2 linked regions of the Nothobranchius furzeri genome follow. The protein of the gene in region 1 binds, or shares a complex with, the protein of each later gene. Links are inferred from orthologs where the notes say so. Each region holds a gene or a part of one and is shown on either strand. Other genes may lie near its edges.

Region 1 (7,470 bases):
GCTGTTCTCGGCTCTCTCCTGGGCTTATTCATCACACACAACCTGTGTCGAACTAGAATAGATTAAGAATCTCCTGAAATGAGTACCGTATTTTCCGGAGTATAAGTCGTACCAGCCACAAAATGTATAATGAAGAAGAAAAAAACATATATAAGTCGCACTGTACTATGAGTCACATTTTGGGGGGAATTTTTTTTAAATTTTTTATTTTTTACAAAGTCTGAGACCAAGCATTTCACATTTAAGACAAGTACAAGTAACAATAACAGAATAAACAACCAGGGCGCAGCAGCGCGCCACGGTCTCCAGCAGAGGATGGCGGTGTTTCAAACTCTCCCAGCGGGTGGGGAAAGCACCTGCAGCACCCCGCCACAGGCTGCAGCAGGTGATGGCGGTGTTTGAAACCCTCCCAGCGGGGCAGAGGAGCTGAAACCTGGACCGGAGCCGGCCTGCAGCAGCGTGCCACGGTCTCCAGCAGGTGATGGCGGGCAAGGGAGCTCATTCCTGGTCCGGAGCCGGCCCGCGGTATACATAATTTGGTATATAAGTCACTTTGGTATATAAGTCGCAGGACCAGCCAGACTATGAAAAAAAGTGCGACTTATAGTCCAGAAAATACGGTAATTATATTAGCTATATGAAGGAACCTGAAATGCAGCCAGTCCAAACATCAGCTACAATTATAAGATTAGGCAATGACATCACTTTAATACTTTCTGTAGGATTAGTTAGGAAACGCATACGATTTATTTCGACTTGAGTTTGACATTTAAGATCCTGAGACCTGCGCTTTTGTCTGGTCTACATTTTTCATTTCCCCCTGGGGGGTTGTTCTTTTGAACTTTTAAAAAAATGAACACACTTTTCTTGAAATAAATATTTAGAAGAAACAAGTAATAAATAAAGGTAAAATACTACAAAATAAAATGTAGAAAAGTTGAATGTAAACAAAGAAGTGTGTGTGCGTGTGTGTGTGATTAAGTTAAACGAGCTTAAATAGATGATTAGATGATGTTTTCTGTTATCTAAATGTTAGATTGCACTGCTGAAGATCCTTCTGGCTGCTGCTCCCACATCTAAAGCCAAAACGGACTCCATTAACATCCTAGCAGACGTGCTGCCAGAGGAGATGCCGTGAGTGGAAAATTTACTGACTAATGTCTAAAACGGTTGTTCTCATCAAACCCAGACCAGTCTTAGAAACTACTTTGTCCCTCATGCCATCAAACATCTGAACACCTTGCTGGGGTGGGGGTGTTGGAACAGGAGGTGCAGGAATAAAATAGCATAACACAACCTGACAGCATTATTTTCAAATCCTAGAGTCTCATTGTCTATTTTCCATCAGAAGCTAATGCAGGAGATAGGTGTAGGTAGGGATGGGTACCTTTGACATTTGAATCGATATGGTACCAATTCCCGGTACCTACGAATCGATACCGGTACTTAACAATATCAATTTTCGATACTTTTGAGTGTTTAATAACTATTCAAATTGCTTTTTTAATTAAATATATACTATTTTCCCAATATTTAACCATATTTGATTAATATCATGATAAATAACATACAACTGTTTGTATTTTATCATCGTAGTGTTGTACAAAATTCTTCAATATGAAAACCTTTAACAACAACTGTTTCTAAATGATGCAAAAACAAACCCAGCTCCATGTACTCCTAATCCTCTCCTTTCCCCTCTGGAATAACTGATGAGGACACCATGTATTAGAAACTACAAATGAAACTGAAAAATGAAAGTGAATCGGTACTAAGTCAGTACTACTGAATTCGGTCGGTGCCTTAAGAAGTACCGAATTTGGTATCCATCCCTATGTGTAGGAGACTATTTTCATGTTCAAGCTGCATGAGAAACTCAAAGTGACTGATTATAATCATTAAAAAATGGCTTTTCAGTGTTCCACACCTTTAGATAATGCTGATAAATTACCTTTTTATACCTTTTAAAAATATATTCATTTTATTGTTATCCCCTTTTTCTATCAATGCACTACTCCTGGAAACCCCCAGAGGAACCCTCCTGAGTGATTGGTAAAGTTATTCGGACTCTTTGGGTCCTTGAAGACGTTTCGCTTCTCATCCCAAGATTTTTGTCAGTTCTAAGTGGAAAAAAGCAAAAGGTTTTCAAAGAACCAAAGAAGTCCAGTTTCCTTCATTCGAACCTCCTAGGTTTACTGAAGACCAGCATACTATCTAAAACAGTTTTATTTTGAAAAGAAAACTCTGCAAAAACTGTTTATATCCAGAAAAAGTCTGTAACAGACAGTGAGGATGTAAGTGGGAGGAGCTTGATTTTTATTCCGAGAGGATCTGGTCTCCTGTCTCCCCCTGCAGGACGACGGTCCTACAGAGCATGAAGCTGGGTGTCGACGTCAACCGGCACAAAGAAATCATTGTTAAAGCCATTTCTGCCATCCTTCTGCTGCTGCTGAAGCACTTCAAGCTGAACCACATCTACCAGGTGAAACACCTCCTGTGCTTTATTGATGAGAAAGTATTTCATCGGAGGCAAATCCACCTTAACTAAGCGTGTGTGTGTTTGTAGTTTGAGTACATGGCTCAGCACCTGGTGTTTGCCAACTGTATCCCACTCATCCTGAAGTTTTTCAACCAGAACATAATGTCTTACATCACAGCTAAGAACAGGTGCTGTCATGCTTTTATTTTTAGTTTTGTAGTCGTAATAACTTCCTGGTAATGGTGGACGTAACTGAACGGTTGTCTCTTCAACAGCATCTCTGTACTTGATTTCCCCCACTGCGTGGTGCATGAGCTCCCTGAGCTGACCGCAGAGAGTTTGGTGAGTTTTCTGACTCATCGTGTAGCCTTCAAGCAACACTTCATACGTTTCCCACTCATCCCTCCTGCTGGTTGAAAGAACTACAACTGTCCTAAACAACCCCGCCATTGCCTGCTGTAGTTGGTGCTAACAATAAGCTACCGCTAGCATGAGCCAATAGCATATTCTGCAGTTGGTGTCACAGCATAAGTGCAGCTGGGCGCTAATGCTATGCAAACAAAGCATGCAACAGCGGTGCTTAGTTCCTTCCTGTTTGAACGTATTTAGGAGATGAAACTGCAACTTTGAGATGACCAGAGTGATTCTGATTCATAGGCACCCATGCGAAATACACACTTGCTTGTCTAGGGCTAAATCCCAAAATGCATAGCAACATTATGTCGATCTATTTTTGGCTACTGTAGAATATGCTATTGATACTAAAATATGCCATTAAGTAGAAATATCTTCACTGTTTGACAAAAAAAAATCTTTACAAGTCTAACAGAAACAAAGCCAGGTCACCATCAGTCTGTGATTTCAAAGCCTCCTTCAGCTCCGTTAAACAAGTGTAGGTCGGGCTGATGTTCACTCTGGTTTAGTGCTGCCATGATTAGTCGATTCGTAAAAATAAAAAAAAAACGGAAAAAACAAGACACGGCAAGCCGACAACGTATGTATAATCTATTTTACAGAGATAAAAGAGAAGCACGTACAGTGCAACATTTGTATGCACTGTACGTGCTTCCAACCAAAAATAACCCAACTTCTGCTTTTTATTGACGATCAGCAAACTGAAAAAGCTAACCATCGTATTTGCTACCAGCCTAATAAACGGCTTTTGCATAAAGCAGGTCAATATTTCCCACTAGTGTTCTTACCTGAACCACAAAATGTTGCACAGTTTCTGGGCAGTAGAGTGCTGTCCACTGTGAAACCGCTGAAGTTTCTGGCTCAAGAACCACTGAAACTAGTTTGAACACAATAGCTTCAAGGGTTAAAAACTCTTTTGTGTAGTTTCAGATTTTTTTCCCCCTTTGAATGATCTCTGGGTTGCAGGAAGCTGGAGACAACACTCAGTTCTGCTGGAGGAATCTGTTCTCGTGTATCAACCTGCTGAGGATCCTGAACAAACTGACCAAATGGAAACACTCCAGAACCATGGTGAGAGAAGTACATGTGGAAACTGTTAAAACCCATGACACATGTGTGTGTGTGTATGTGTGCATGTGTGTGTGTGTATGTGTGCATGTGTGTGTTAGTAATCTGCTTCTCTCCACCAGATGCTGGTCGTGTTTAAGTCAGCTCCCATCCTGAAGAGGGCGCTGAAGGTGAAGCAGGCCATGATGCAGCTCTATGTCCTCAAGCTGCTCAAAGTTCAGACCAAATACTTAGGCCGGCAGTGGAGGAAGAGCAACATGAAAACCATGTCTGCTATTTATCAGAAAGTCCGACACAGACTCAACGACGACTGGGCATATGGAAACGGTGAGTGAAACCCAAAGCCTCGTCCTCCTGCTCTGGATGGATGGGTCTGACTTTTATTTACAAAACAATTCAAAAGCTCTTCTTAGTTCAGTCCGTATTTAAATTATAGTTTCACGTTTTTATTTTGCTCTCATTTTACAGGAGATTTATGTAAATAAAATGCTTTTCAAGGTACACTAAGTAATAAACTTATAGTGAAACAATCATGAAACAGTCTAACGTCCAAGTCGTGTTAGAAGGAAGGTTGTCTTAAAACACATTTCCTTCTCATGGAGGGTTGTCTGTTGTAGGGGTGGGCAATATAAACGATATAAGGTAGAAACGATATAAAATTGGGTAATGATAGAGTTTTTTGGTATATCGCAATAACTCATGGCGTCATTAAGATGTGCACCCTGCTGACATTGGGGAAACAGAATGGCAGTGACTGCAAGCATGGAGTGGGTGGAGGAGGAGGCCTATATGCCTCAAGTGGCATATATTTGCCACATGAGGATATTTAAAAGCATGTCATTTTGACATATATGAACAGAGGAAAAAAATATATCGCAATATACCGTAAATCCTCTAATACAGGCCCGGGCCTGTATTTGACTCAAGCTCATCAAGTTCCACGCCTTTATTGGAAGGAGGGCCAGAATTAGAGGCAGGCCTCTATTTCTATTTGAGCAAAATGAACTAATGGTTCGCTGGAGTTTTTGACAATTAAAATTGCGCCCACATTTTCAAAGTTAAACACATTTCTTTTAACAACGGTATTTTCTGCTTCAGCCATCTCCCCCCTCTCCCTGCGCAGCGGCCGCAATCTCACTGATACGCCTGCAGCCTCTCAGAGTTCCTGCTGCTCTAAACATTAAAATAATTATTTCATTTTCTGTTCCTCACTTCTGATTACCTTCAATGGTGTCTGTTTGTTGCAACCACCAGGTACAAAAACTAACTTGCTTTTATTTGACTATTTTTCTGTCCTGCCTGTTGATTATCTTCCTGCATCTCCTCTCAATCCTAAAGAGAAACTGCTACCTGGGTTCATATATATTCACTTATGAGTTACCTTTGAACTGCAGTTCTAAAAGATCTACCGATCGCAAAAACAGCGGAGTGCTCGCCGGCCACATCAGTTAGGTGCGTCACCGAGGACAAAACAGGTGATGCGCCCTGATCCACAGCAGCGAAAAGCATCAGGCACAAATAAAAGACAGAAAACATAAAAGGAAATGAGCCGACATGAACGATCACGTGTTAAATTAGTTTTTGAGGTGGCCACACCTGATGTGATAATGTTACTGTGGCCGTGCTCAGGACGCAGATGTCTGGAGCGCGTCAACAATCAGAGTGTTGCATGCGCAAGCTGGTTAAGGTTAGGATGGGGGTGAGGGGAAGGTAAAATTGCAAGAGGGGAAAGGTCACAATTTGGTTAAATGTCCGTTTTACGGTGGGTGTCAGTACCGACGCTCTGGCACAGCATGTTGCCTCCCGACGCGCAGGAGCTTGTCACCTGCTGACAGCAGGCTGCTGTCTTTTCCGTGGACTGCATCTTGCCGGTCATTATCACGTGACAGCGACTAGTCGATGACAGGCATAAAAAGTCACTATAGTGAAGTCGACTAGTTCATACAACCCCTACTGCTCCCCAGTGTTCTGCAGCATAATCAGCACGTTCTCTTTGAACTTGATATCAAATTTTCGCCTCCTCTTCGTCTCCGCACGGTTAAAGTTACCCTCGCGGTCTATCACTGGCAAATCAAAAGTGAGACGGATGACACAACCGCCCCCCGTACTTGCTTGTTACCACATTCCGCCCGGCCACAATAAAAAAACGGCCATTATCCACCTCCGCCGACACCGGCCAAACTATGATACCCGGCAGTTAATTAAATATAGGCTAATATTAGAGGATTTACGGTATATCGTTACCGCACATGCTTCAGATTATATCGCAATATAGATTTGAGGCCATATCACCCAGCTCTAGTGTGTTGTACTCCTTTAGAAAAAATGAAAGAGAGACAATCTGAATCAGCGGGGTTGCCATGTCTGACGAGGGACAAATGTGTCCGTGTTAAAAAGACTGAAATGCATAAACGTACAAGGGATGTGACTGCAGGGATGGCAGGATACCTCAGAAAAGTGCTACGCCCTCTGCTGTGCTGGCAAAGAATTGTTTCACTGCGCTCCGATCAGGTGATCCTTGATAGTCTGACCCACCGTGGGGTGCACCAGCACAGACAGACAGACAGAGATGTGTCAGTAAATTTGATAATAAAACAATGAAAAGATGTGTGGAGGTTGGCAACGTTCATGTCCCTTTAAGAAGCTGTAAAATGTGACAACGTAATACACGTGACAGCCCCATCTAGTGGACAACTTTTGTTTCTGCGCATATCTGTAGTTATCGTCCATTTATCGTTATCGAGGTGAAATCCTCTATATACTGTGATGTTGTTTTTAGGTCATGTTGCCCAGCCCTAGTTCATGTTACAAAACTAATGGCAAACTAACAAGATTTGTAGTCTACAAGCTTTTAACGCTGATACGACTTTACTCTCATCTGGCATATTTTACTGAGGATGTTTCTCGGCTCACCATCTAAAATCCAAACCAGGTCTGTGTAACCGACGTTAACCGTGTTCTTTACAAACACGCCATCATCCACGCGCTCTGATCTGCAGCAGCTGCTGCGTTTCGTCCAGAGCTGACGCAGATTCACAACATTAATGCAAAAGCGGGTGAAGCGCTAAACTGTCTCGCTCCTCATCAGCAAATGCAACCGGTTAGCCGCTAGTAAACAATCCTTTATTTTAGGCCCAAATCTTACTGGTTATGTCTTACAGTGTTTATACCGCACATTACTAGACTGCAGTACCCAAATTAGACAACAGGTTGTCATTCTCACTCGATTCTTACATCATGCACCTTTAAATCTTCCATTGCATTTTATTTTACATATCTGTAAACACAACTTTAATGTTTTTAGGTGTGTGGTTTTATTTCTTGGTCACTTGCTGTTTATTGTATTCAAACAAACAAGAAGACCTAGTTGTTTGTTTTATTATGTTATAAATAAAGTTAGAGTTTTAGATTTGTGTACATCAGAACAGACCACTAGGGTTGACCTGTCGTCTGCTTGCTGGAGCAGACCTGGACGCTCGTCCCTGGGACTTCCAGGCTGAGGAGTGCGC
Region 2 (8,260 bases), on another chromosome or scaffold:
ACAACAACTTGCTCAAGCTTCATTCATTCACTCACGCAGCAGTTACCCTGTCTTTGAGTGATTTCTGCCGGTTTTGCAAGAAGAATGTGTGCACAAAGGGCAGTGTTTCCCCAGCCAGGCTATGCATTGTCTCCACCCCCTCTTCCCAGCCCTAACTTCTCCACTTACACGGACAACAGACGGCAGTGAAACAAACCGCAAGCCTCCCCTCTGCTGATACCAACGAGAAACTGTAGCAACCCCCGACCCCCCCCCTCTCACTATCCGGCCCGCGAAGCTTATCAAGTTTTCTGGGATGTTTACAGCCACACGGTTATGTTATTCGAACATTCCATCATAGTTCCAAAATTAGTTATTCCATTCCGTTACAAAGTTGACTCTACATCTTTTCTGGCCGTGACATAAGCGTGTTTCAGTCAGTATCATTTGGACGTTTAATAATTAAAATTTAGGCTGTTTATTACTGTAAAAAAATCTAATAAATACCATTACTGTAATAGAATATCATTAGTGGACATTCGCTTTGACACGTACATGAAGTCACCTAGTGGATGTACACTTACAACTGATTCACAACATGCTCTATGTTGAACTACACGTATCTAGTTGTCAAAATAACATTTATACATGTAACTGTAGACATGTACAATTATATCTAAATGGATTTTAAGGGAATTTTCTGTTACATTTGTTTTAACAAATTAAAGACGTCCGACCGCAACCATTTTTAGCCGTGGACACCACGTTGCCGTTGTGATTAATGTTTGCTGTTAGCGTCAACCGACGCTGTGTTTGTTTTGCTAAGCCGAGCGCTTGATTCTATCGTCAAAACTAAAGCTTGGTTTATGCTTGACGCATTCACTTTCCGCTTGGTGATGCAGCTTGCGGATGGAACGCGCTTCACAACTCGCAGCGTTTATGGTTCATGCGGCATGTCTCTGCGGTGAGCCAATATTCTCCCAAACTGTAGGGGGCAACATGGAGCTCTACGGCATGCATCCAACACTACACCATAGTAGAAGTAAAAATTACTGTTGTTTAAAACATGGCATTCCAGCATTTTTTAACAGTGTCCTCATCTTTTCTGACAGTGCGAGCTATTTCTCTCCAAGAATTATTAACAACATGTTTATCACGGTGATCTTTGAGAGCTGAATCGTACAAATGTCTGTATTTACGAACCTCTGCCATAACTAGTTCTTGCCGGTCCGCCATGTTTTTCCGCATCCGACCGACCGCGTGGTTAGAAAATTTCCTTGGTGCGCGGTGCGGAAATTTTAGGCCGTGCGGAGGCGCGGTGGAGGGGCGTGGTTGTTAAAATGATGCAATTTCACCGCGTGGGGCCGTGCGGACCTCGCGGACGCGTCAAGCTTAAACCAAACTTAAGTCCCACCCTACAGCACAGTACTGACTAGGGATGAACGATTTAGGAAAATAATCTAATTGTGATTTTTTTTCTATATTGCAATAGCGATTTAATTCACAATTATTTTCTCAAGGGGCTTTTCTCATATTTTTCAACAGAAGCAAAAAAAACCCTATGTAACTTGCACTGAATATGAACAAGTTTATGTATCTACATATATATCTACATATCATATCAACAAGTTTATTTGTCTACATAAATACTAACAAGTAACAACAACATTTTGCATTTGAAGTTGCGATGCTTTGCAGCCAGGAGCACATCCCTTGTAGGAGCATAGGTATTAGCATCAACTGTGAAAATTGATTTGTAGGAAAGAAGTGTGTCCCATTTATTGGTCTTTTGTGTTTACAGTTTTTGACGTCTGGTCCATGCAGAGCTTCCATAGTTCAGCTACGTTCATAGCTGCTAGCCAAAACTCTGTGGAGTTTAAGTCTCTTACAGTTTTTTGAGCTTTACTAAAATATCTGTCTGTACTTATTTGATTAATGGCAGTTTTTACTTTTTTATTAGTGTCCAAATGTAAATATTTGGCACGTTCCTAAGCCATAATTTGTAAGAATGTAATCTGCAATATTAGCATTAGCATCCCTATGGGCTTTTCTATGTATATTAGCATTGCGCTAACCACTTGCTGCCAGTCAAATCGCAGCCTTTGCGATTAGAAAATCTCCTTTTGTCACATCGCAATTTAATTGCATATGCAATTAATTATTCAGCCGTAGTGCTGACACACGATTGGTCCGGCCTATTTTAGGCCGGAGGTCGGACGGTTTGAACTGGAACGGTACAAGATGGATTCTCCTGAGTTTGGAAAACTCCAAATCTCGCGAGGATTCATCTTGCAGTGCAAGGTTACATTTCAGTAGGAATTAGACGACGGGTACACTCATATTGACTTGATGTGATAAAGAACAAATGACATTTCCTGCCAAAAGTGGTGTAATATTTATGCAATATTCACATTTTTGGAGACATTGAAATATAGGTTTCTATTATCTGTATGAGACAATAATCAAAATTACAAGAACTATAGGCTTGAAATGGTTCATTTTATGTGAAATGACTATTTAGGTGCTTCGCTTTCTGAAATGAGTGACAAAATATATTACACTGCTTCATAATAATCTAATTGTTTCAGGTGTGCCCACATTGTTCTGATACATTAACCTTAAATTCTGTCACTCATCATATTCGTTTTTTTTTATTAAATAAAGCAACATATTTGACATTGGAAGGCTTACCTCCTTAAAAACGGGATACATCACAGCGTAAAGCGTCATGGATACCATGGAGTTTGTCTCCGCTTCATTCTTCATCTCCTCCATTGTCATCCTCCAGTGGAGGAGTAGCTCTTGTCAAAATGATGAAGAGGAAACTGCTCCTCAGCCACACTCACTCTCTCTCTCACACACACACACACACGCACACACACACACTCAGAAACCAAGCAAGTTCCAGAGATAAGAGCCTGAAAAATAAAATAGAAAAAGGACATTTTTGGGAAATGAATGAAGTTATATCTGCTCATATTTTCTTTTTACGTTGATGGAATGCAGAACATGCATCAGTTACAATGTGACTGAATTAAATCACAGTAGTTAATCTGTCACAGTTCGGTTTAAACATGGGTTTGGATGATCACACATCCCTGATAATTGTAGTTAGACGTTTAAATTTGAATAAGAACTGGATATGTCACATGATTTTGCAACAATCTTGAAAATCGACTGCCCTGACTATTTATCTTATTCAAACACAAAAATAAGCACTACTTCCTCACCCAGATAAATTTCATTATAATAGAACACAAAACATTTGCAAAAGAAGCTGCAGATAAACCAGGCTTTAAAAAAATACAATCTAAATATGCTCTTTCTAATGATGTGATTGTTCAATAACAAGATTATGAATGAAAATCAATAATAATCTTAAATCAATTATTTTTATGATTAGCAATCAACATGTACGATTAGAACATCCATAAAATTAAATCATGTCAGTTTATCACAAACATGTCATTACACACCCTCACATACATCTTTACACTCACCAGTACTGACCGCCTAATCTATCCTGTTCTGGTTAATAATGAGGAAGTGATCCTTTGTATTCTGGTTTAATCTGAAGGAGGGGAGTGGTACAATCATACGTTTTATGTATGGCAGCACGGATTAAATGTCTACACAACAACTTCACTCTGAACAACAGGGACTATTTGGACACACTATAGCATCGTAGGCAAATGAGTTAAAACTGACAAATACTTGACAGAATAGATTAGGAGAGCTGAATGTAAATCATACGAATTTGATGTATTTTCAGCATGTTGTGTATTTGTGATTGTCCAGGTTTGTTATGGAGAAAATGACACATATTATTTTTTTTAATGGAGTGTCTGAAGTGACTGCTGGTTTACTGGAAAGCTAAACAAATCAAATGATAGCCTAAGGTAATGCTACAAGCTAGTAGAAGTATGGAACGGAAAACTAAACGGTGTTGGGTAAAACAGAGTAACCCGATTTATTTGTGATATCGGGGTACTACAATCAATTAACAAGTGTCTGTGTAACATTACATACTTTACGCGGTTTTATAATATTCACTCGAGGCCTCTAGCCGACTAGATCGATGGTAGCAGTGAACAGCGTTAGCTTCCGTGCTAGCTCAAGTAATGTGTAGGGTTGTCTTTACAAACGCGCTAAAACACGTCAACAAACTGCTTCATGACGGATACGTGCATTTATGTGTGCGTCCTAAAGGCGTACTCGTATCTACCTTTGGGCTGACTTCTTAAATAAGATGATTTTCCCGTCGATTGGCTTTTAGCTGCTGTGTTTTCTTTACAACTTAAGGCGGAAGTTTTTTAGGACTGGCCCGAGCGACATCTTCCGGACCGTTGCTACGTAAACACACGTTGTCCAATCAGAGAGCGGGGAGGCTAAAGTAACCGTGACGTAAGCCGGTAGCCTATTTAAGTAAGTATGATGAAAACGTAGCTTTACGTAGGCACATTACAGTTGTTCTGTGTTTAATTAAGATTTGTTTATGAGAAAATAAAAGCTTTTAGTTGTATTAAGAAAAACATGGCTCTCCAATTTTCTACATAGCAGCAAATATAAAGGTCAAAAGAGACAACAGAGGTCACATATATACATGAAAATGTTTTTAATCAGTGTTTTTTCTTATTACAGTAACACATTCTAATGACAATACCTTTTAAAAGGACTGCCAGAAGAAATACAGTACTGATTAGATCATTTGAAGGAAGGGATAGCTACATTGCCCTTTGATGCATAATGGTCACTACAGTGGACAGGTACTCAAAATAGTTTTTTTTTTGCTTGTTTATTTATTTGTTTGTTTGTTTGTTTGTTTGTTTTTGCATTAAGCACAGCTGTTGAAGACTTTATTGTATTTGAGCCCCTCCATTTGGACTTCAGTAAGTCAAGCCAACATATTTCATGTTCAGAATGCACGCTGTCCACTGAGGTGGACGTGTAATAATCCATTTGTAAATTATTAAATGTTTCAAAAAATATTTGTTGAAATTTGTTTCATTCACACCTAAAGATGAATGAAATTCATGGAAAAAAATTCATGGTTGAAGATTGCATAATTCATGCATCAAAGGGTTAATAATATGAGATTTTGCTGAAATATTTGCAATATAGTAAAAGGCTGAATCCGCTGGATTACATTAATGTTAAAAAAAACATTAATTTTTGAGTTTTGTGCAAAAATGTAAATATCTCATCTCCTATGCATGTCATGATCCGCCCCGGCCTCCCTGACTGTGTCTCTCCTGCCTTGATTAACCTTATTGTTCTCACCTGTCCCTCATTACTCTGCCCATGTGTTCCTGATTTCCCTGTGTATTTATACCTCCCTCCTTGTTGCTGTCTTCATCGGATCATTGTTGTTTGTTCATGTTTGTTTTGTCCGTCTCTCCCATTCTACAATTAAACCATTTTTATTTCATCCGTGCCTGCTCTTCTGCCTCCTGGAACCCTCCACCACACTTGGTCCACCATCTCCACCCTCACATCATGACGATGCATTTATTTTCAAGAACGAATTTGTTTCTATTCTGAATGAAAAATAGCCAACTTTATGCATGCACCAATGACATTTTTTTAAAACCGAAACACCCAATGTTAAAGTTTCAATGAATGCAAATAATGCTTCTTCTGTTCAGTCTTGTTTGGTTTCAGTTATAGACTGAATGGAAGTTTAAAAAAATACATTAGCAAGATGCATATCAGTTTTTCATGTTTTGTTAAAAGCTGTTGTAAATTCCAGCAGGCCATTCCCATTATGTCACGTTTATCCCTAGCCTGGCCTGCCAGACTTGTTCACTGTGTAATTCTACACAGAGAACTATAAGGAAGCATAGGGAAGCGTGGGGCTGGCTGGCCAGGCCAATATCTTCTTATGTAATTTTGTGTTGGTTAAAAAAATATCTTGAATCTCTTACTTATCTTGTTTTAAAGGAATGTAAAAGGCTGTGGACAGTGACACACTGAAATGTGAGGTCAGGCTCCAGGTTTCTGAAGCCTGCAGGTACATATGACCTCAGAGCACATTTTTCTCTGGAGACAGAATACTTGTCTTTAATTCATTAGAAACAAAATGATGCTATCCTAACCAGCAGGATAGGCATCAATCTTCCTATGCTTGAAGTTTACATTAAATAAACACAAAAATTGTAAAAGTAAATTATTAATGTCCAATCCATAGACAGGGACATAAGGACGAAACTGAAGCCCAAATGCCCCCTCACTCTTTACAAACCTTTCTGCTGCATGCTTGTATGTTTATTTATTTATTTTTTCTTTAAACTTATTTTGCAAAATAGAAACGTCATGTTTTAAAAACACAATGATTGTGTATGGGCAGTTTTAGCCCCACATCCAACCTTGAAACAGGACCGTTTGACTCCACTTTATAGCAACAGATGAAAGTAGATGCCTTATTTATTTATGTCTGAGTAAAACCCCAGTAAGGTTTTATCTTGAGGGCGATATGATTGGCTGAACACAACACCCAGAAAGATGTAAAATGTAAAACGTCTTTAATGCTTGTCAGAAATAGGGGGGGGGGGGGGGACTCAGAACACAGTTTTACTAGAACACTCCTCTAAAGCATATAAACAAACATCGTATTTTTTTAGAATAAACAAAAGAAACAAGACTCAAAGAAATTGAAGAAATGCAGCAAAATAAGTAGTTTTGGTCTCAAAACGTTCAAAAACAGTGTTCTCCTTTAAAAAGCGACAACTTTGGAAGTCGGGTTGAAAGGACAAAGACAGCAGACGCTGGAATTTTCCACTCTAGGATGAGAATCACTGTTGTTATGCATACTGCTGTTATGCATGCAACATCTTAATTAAATCAATAATTAACTTCGATTTTACCACTCATTTGCACTGAAACTAATTAATAAATGTAAATTAGTTTGTTAATGTGACATGTTATTATCCATTCGCAATTGAATCTCTGACCTCCACGATAGCTGTTCAGGTTTTATTGTGCACCCATGACTGATCTAGTTGACTGATCTAGTTTCAAAAAGCAAAACGACCACCTAAATAATATTTTTATATAACTATTTGCCATGCTGATTAAAAGGGAAATGCTGCGTAAAAGTCAAAGATCGGTCGAATTGGGTTACATGGTAAACACATTTATCACAGACACTTTGTATTTTGCAAATCTGGAAATATCTACAAATAAAACGTTGATGGAAGATTTTTCTATTTTTTTATGTACTGAAACATCTAGAACGGATTAGTTTCGCTGCGCAGTGGTCCCTCCTCTCCGACGATGCTGGAGTGGAACGACGCGCTGCCATTGGCTGTTGCTGCCACGCGGCGTCCTTTGTCTGCTTCCCGCAGGCTTCATAAAGCGGTGGGACGTGACGATTAGCCTGTAACGGTGTGAAACTGACCCAAGAGAAGTCATCCGCACCAGCAGACGCGCCAGAGTGGAAAATTCCAAGCGGACAACTTACAGAAAGACAAGAAATCTTCTTCGAAAGGTGAGGGATCCTTCATTGCCAGTCAGGTAGTGTTGAGCTTTTTCACGCTTTCTTTGAAATTAAGTGAAATAAATTCAAACGTGTCTGTGTGCAGATTCTGCAGCCATGTCCGCGAACATCCTCATCAACAGTCCTAACCTGAAGTACACAGACACACACATAGAGGCGCAGTATTCTTATCAAACCACATCAGTGCACCAGGAAGGGAATAAACTCACGGTCAGTTCACAAATGTTCACTCTGGTGCGTAATTACGCACGCGTAAAGTTTCTACGGTTCACACCGCTTCTGTTCTGGAATGCAGGTGACCCCTAGAACAACTGAGATGATTTTCCGAACCGAGCGGCACGTTCCGAGGCTTGGTGTGATGCTTGTGGGCTGGGGAGGCAACAACGGAACCACTGTCACAGCCGCTGTGCTGGCAAACAAGCTGGGTCTTACCTGGAGGACCAAGAACGGAGAGAAGGTGCGGTTTTAATGAAGAAGTCTGCTTTAACTATCTACCCTCAACCAGTTTGAATAAGAGAACCTAAAGCCAGGTGTGTTATGGACACATGCTCCCAACTATCTGTTATAAACTGGTTTTATTATGTTTTTCTTAAAAGTAAAACTTTTCCAGTTCTTGGGACATTTTCATATAGACATTAGCAAAGAAGTTGGACTAAGTCATCACAAGTCACAACTGTCTTGACTCATGTTCTTGTTCTAAACTTTTAAAATTTTATACTAAACAAGTAATTTGGGATTTCGGCAGCAGGTGTTGTACCGTCTGTCGTGGTGAAGAGAGAGCTGAGC

Evidence for each region. The genes of interacting proteins can lie anywhere in the genome.
Region 2: strip1 (region 1) and programmed cell death protein 10-B share a complex: the UniProt entries of both Homo sapiens proteins name them as parts of the core of STRIPAK complex. The link is inferred for Nothobranchius furzeri from reciprocal best matches to the Homo sapiens genes STRIP1 and PDCD10.

The regions. Positions count from the first base shown.
Region 1 is NC_091743.1:46,751,490-46,758,959, forward strand, and holds part of strip1 (striatin-interacting protein 1 homolog), read left to right. Parts: intron 1-1,036; coding exon 1,037-1,134; intron 1,135-2,355; coding exon 2,356-2,482; intron 2,483-2,566; coding exon 2,567-2,667; intron 2,668-2,754; coding exon 2,755-2,821; intron 2,822-3,859; coding exon 3,860-3,964; intron 3,965-4,083; coding exon 4,084-4,288; intron 4,289-7,427; coding exon 7,428-7,470. UniProt on the Homo sapiens protein: Plays a role in the regulation of cell morphology and cytoskeletal organization. Required in the cortical actin filament dynamics and cell shape. Part of the striatin-interacting phosphatase and kinase (STRIPAK) complexes.
Region 2 is NC_091758.1:24,839,991-24,848,250, forward strand, and holds the start of programmed cell death protein 10-B, read right to left. Parts: upstream 4,643-8,260; 5' UTR 4,205-4,642; intron 2,898-4,204; 5' UTR 2,761-2,897; coding exon 2,671-2,760; intron 1-2,670. Other genes in the region: inositol-3-phosphate synthase 1-A, read left to right, coding at 7,571-7,684, 7,770-7,931. UniProt on the Homo sapiens protein: Promotes cell proliferation. Modulates apoptotic pathways. Increases mitogen-activated protein kinase activity and STK26 activity. Important for cell migration, and for normal structure and assembly of the Golgi complex.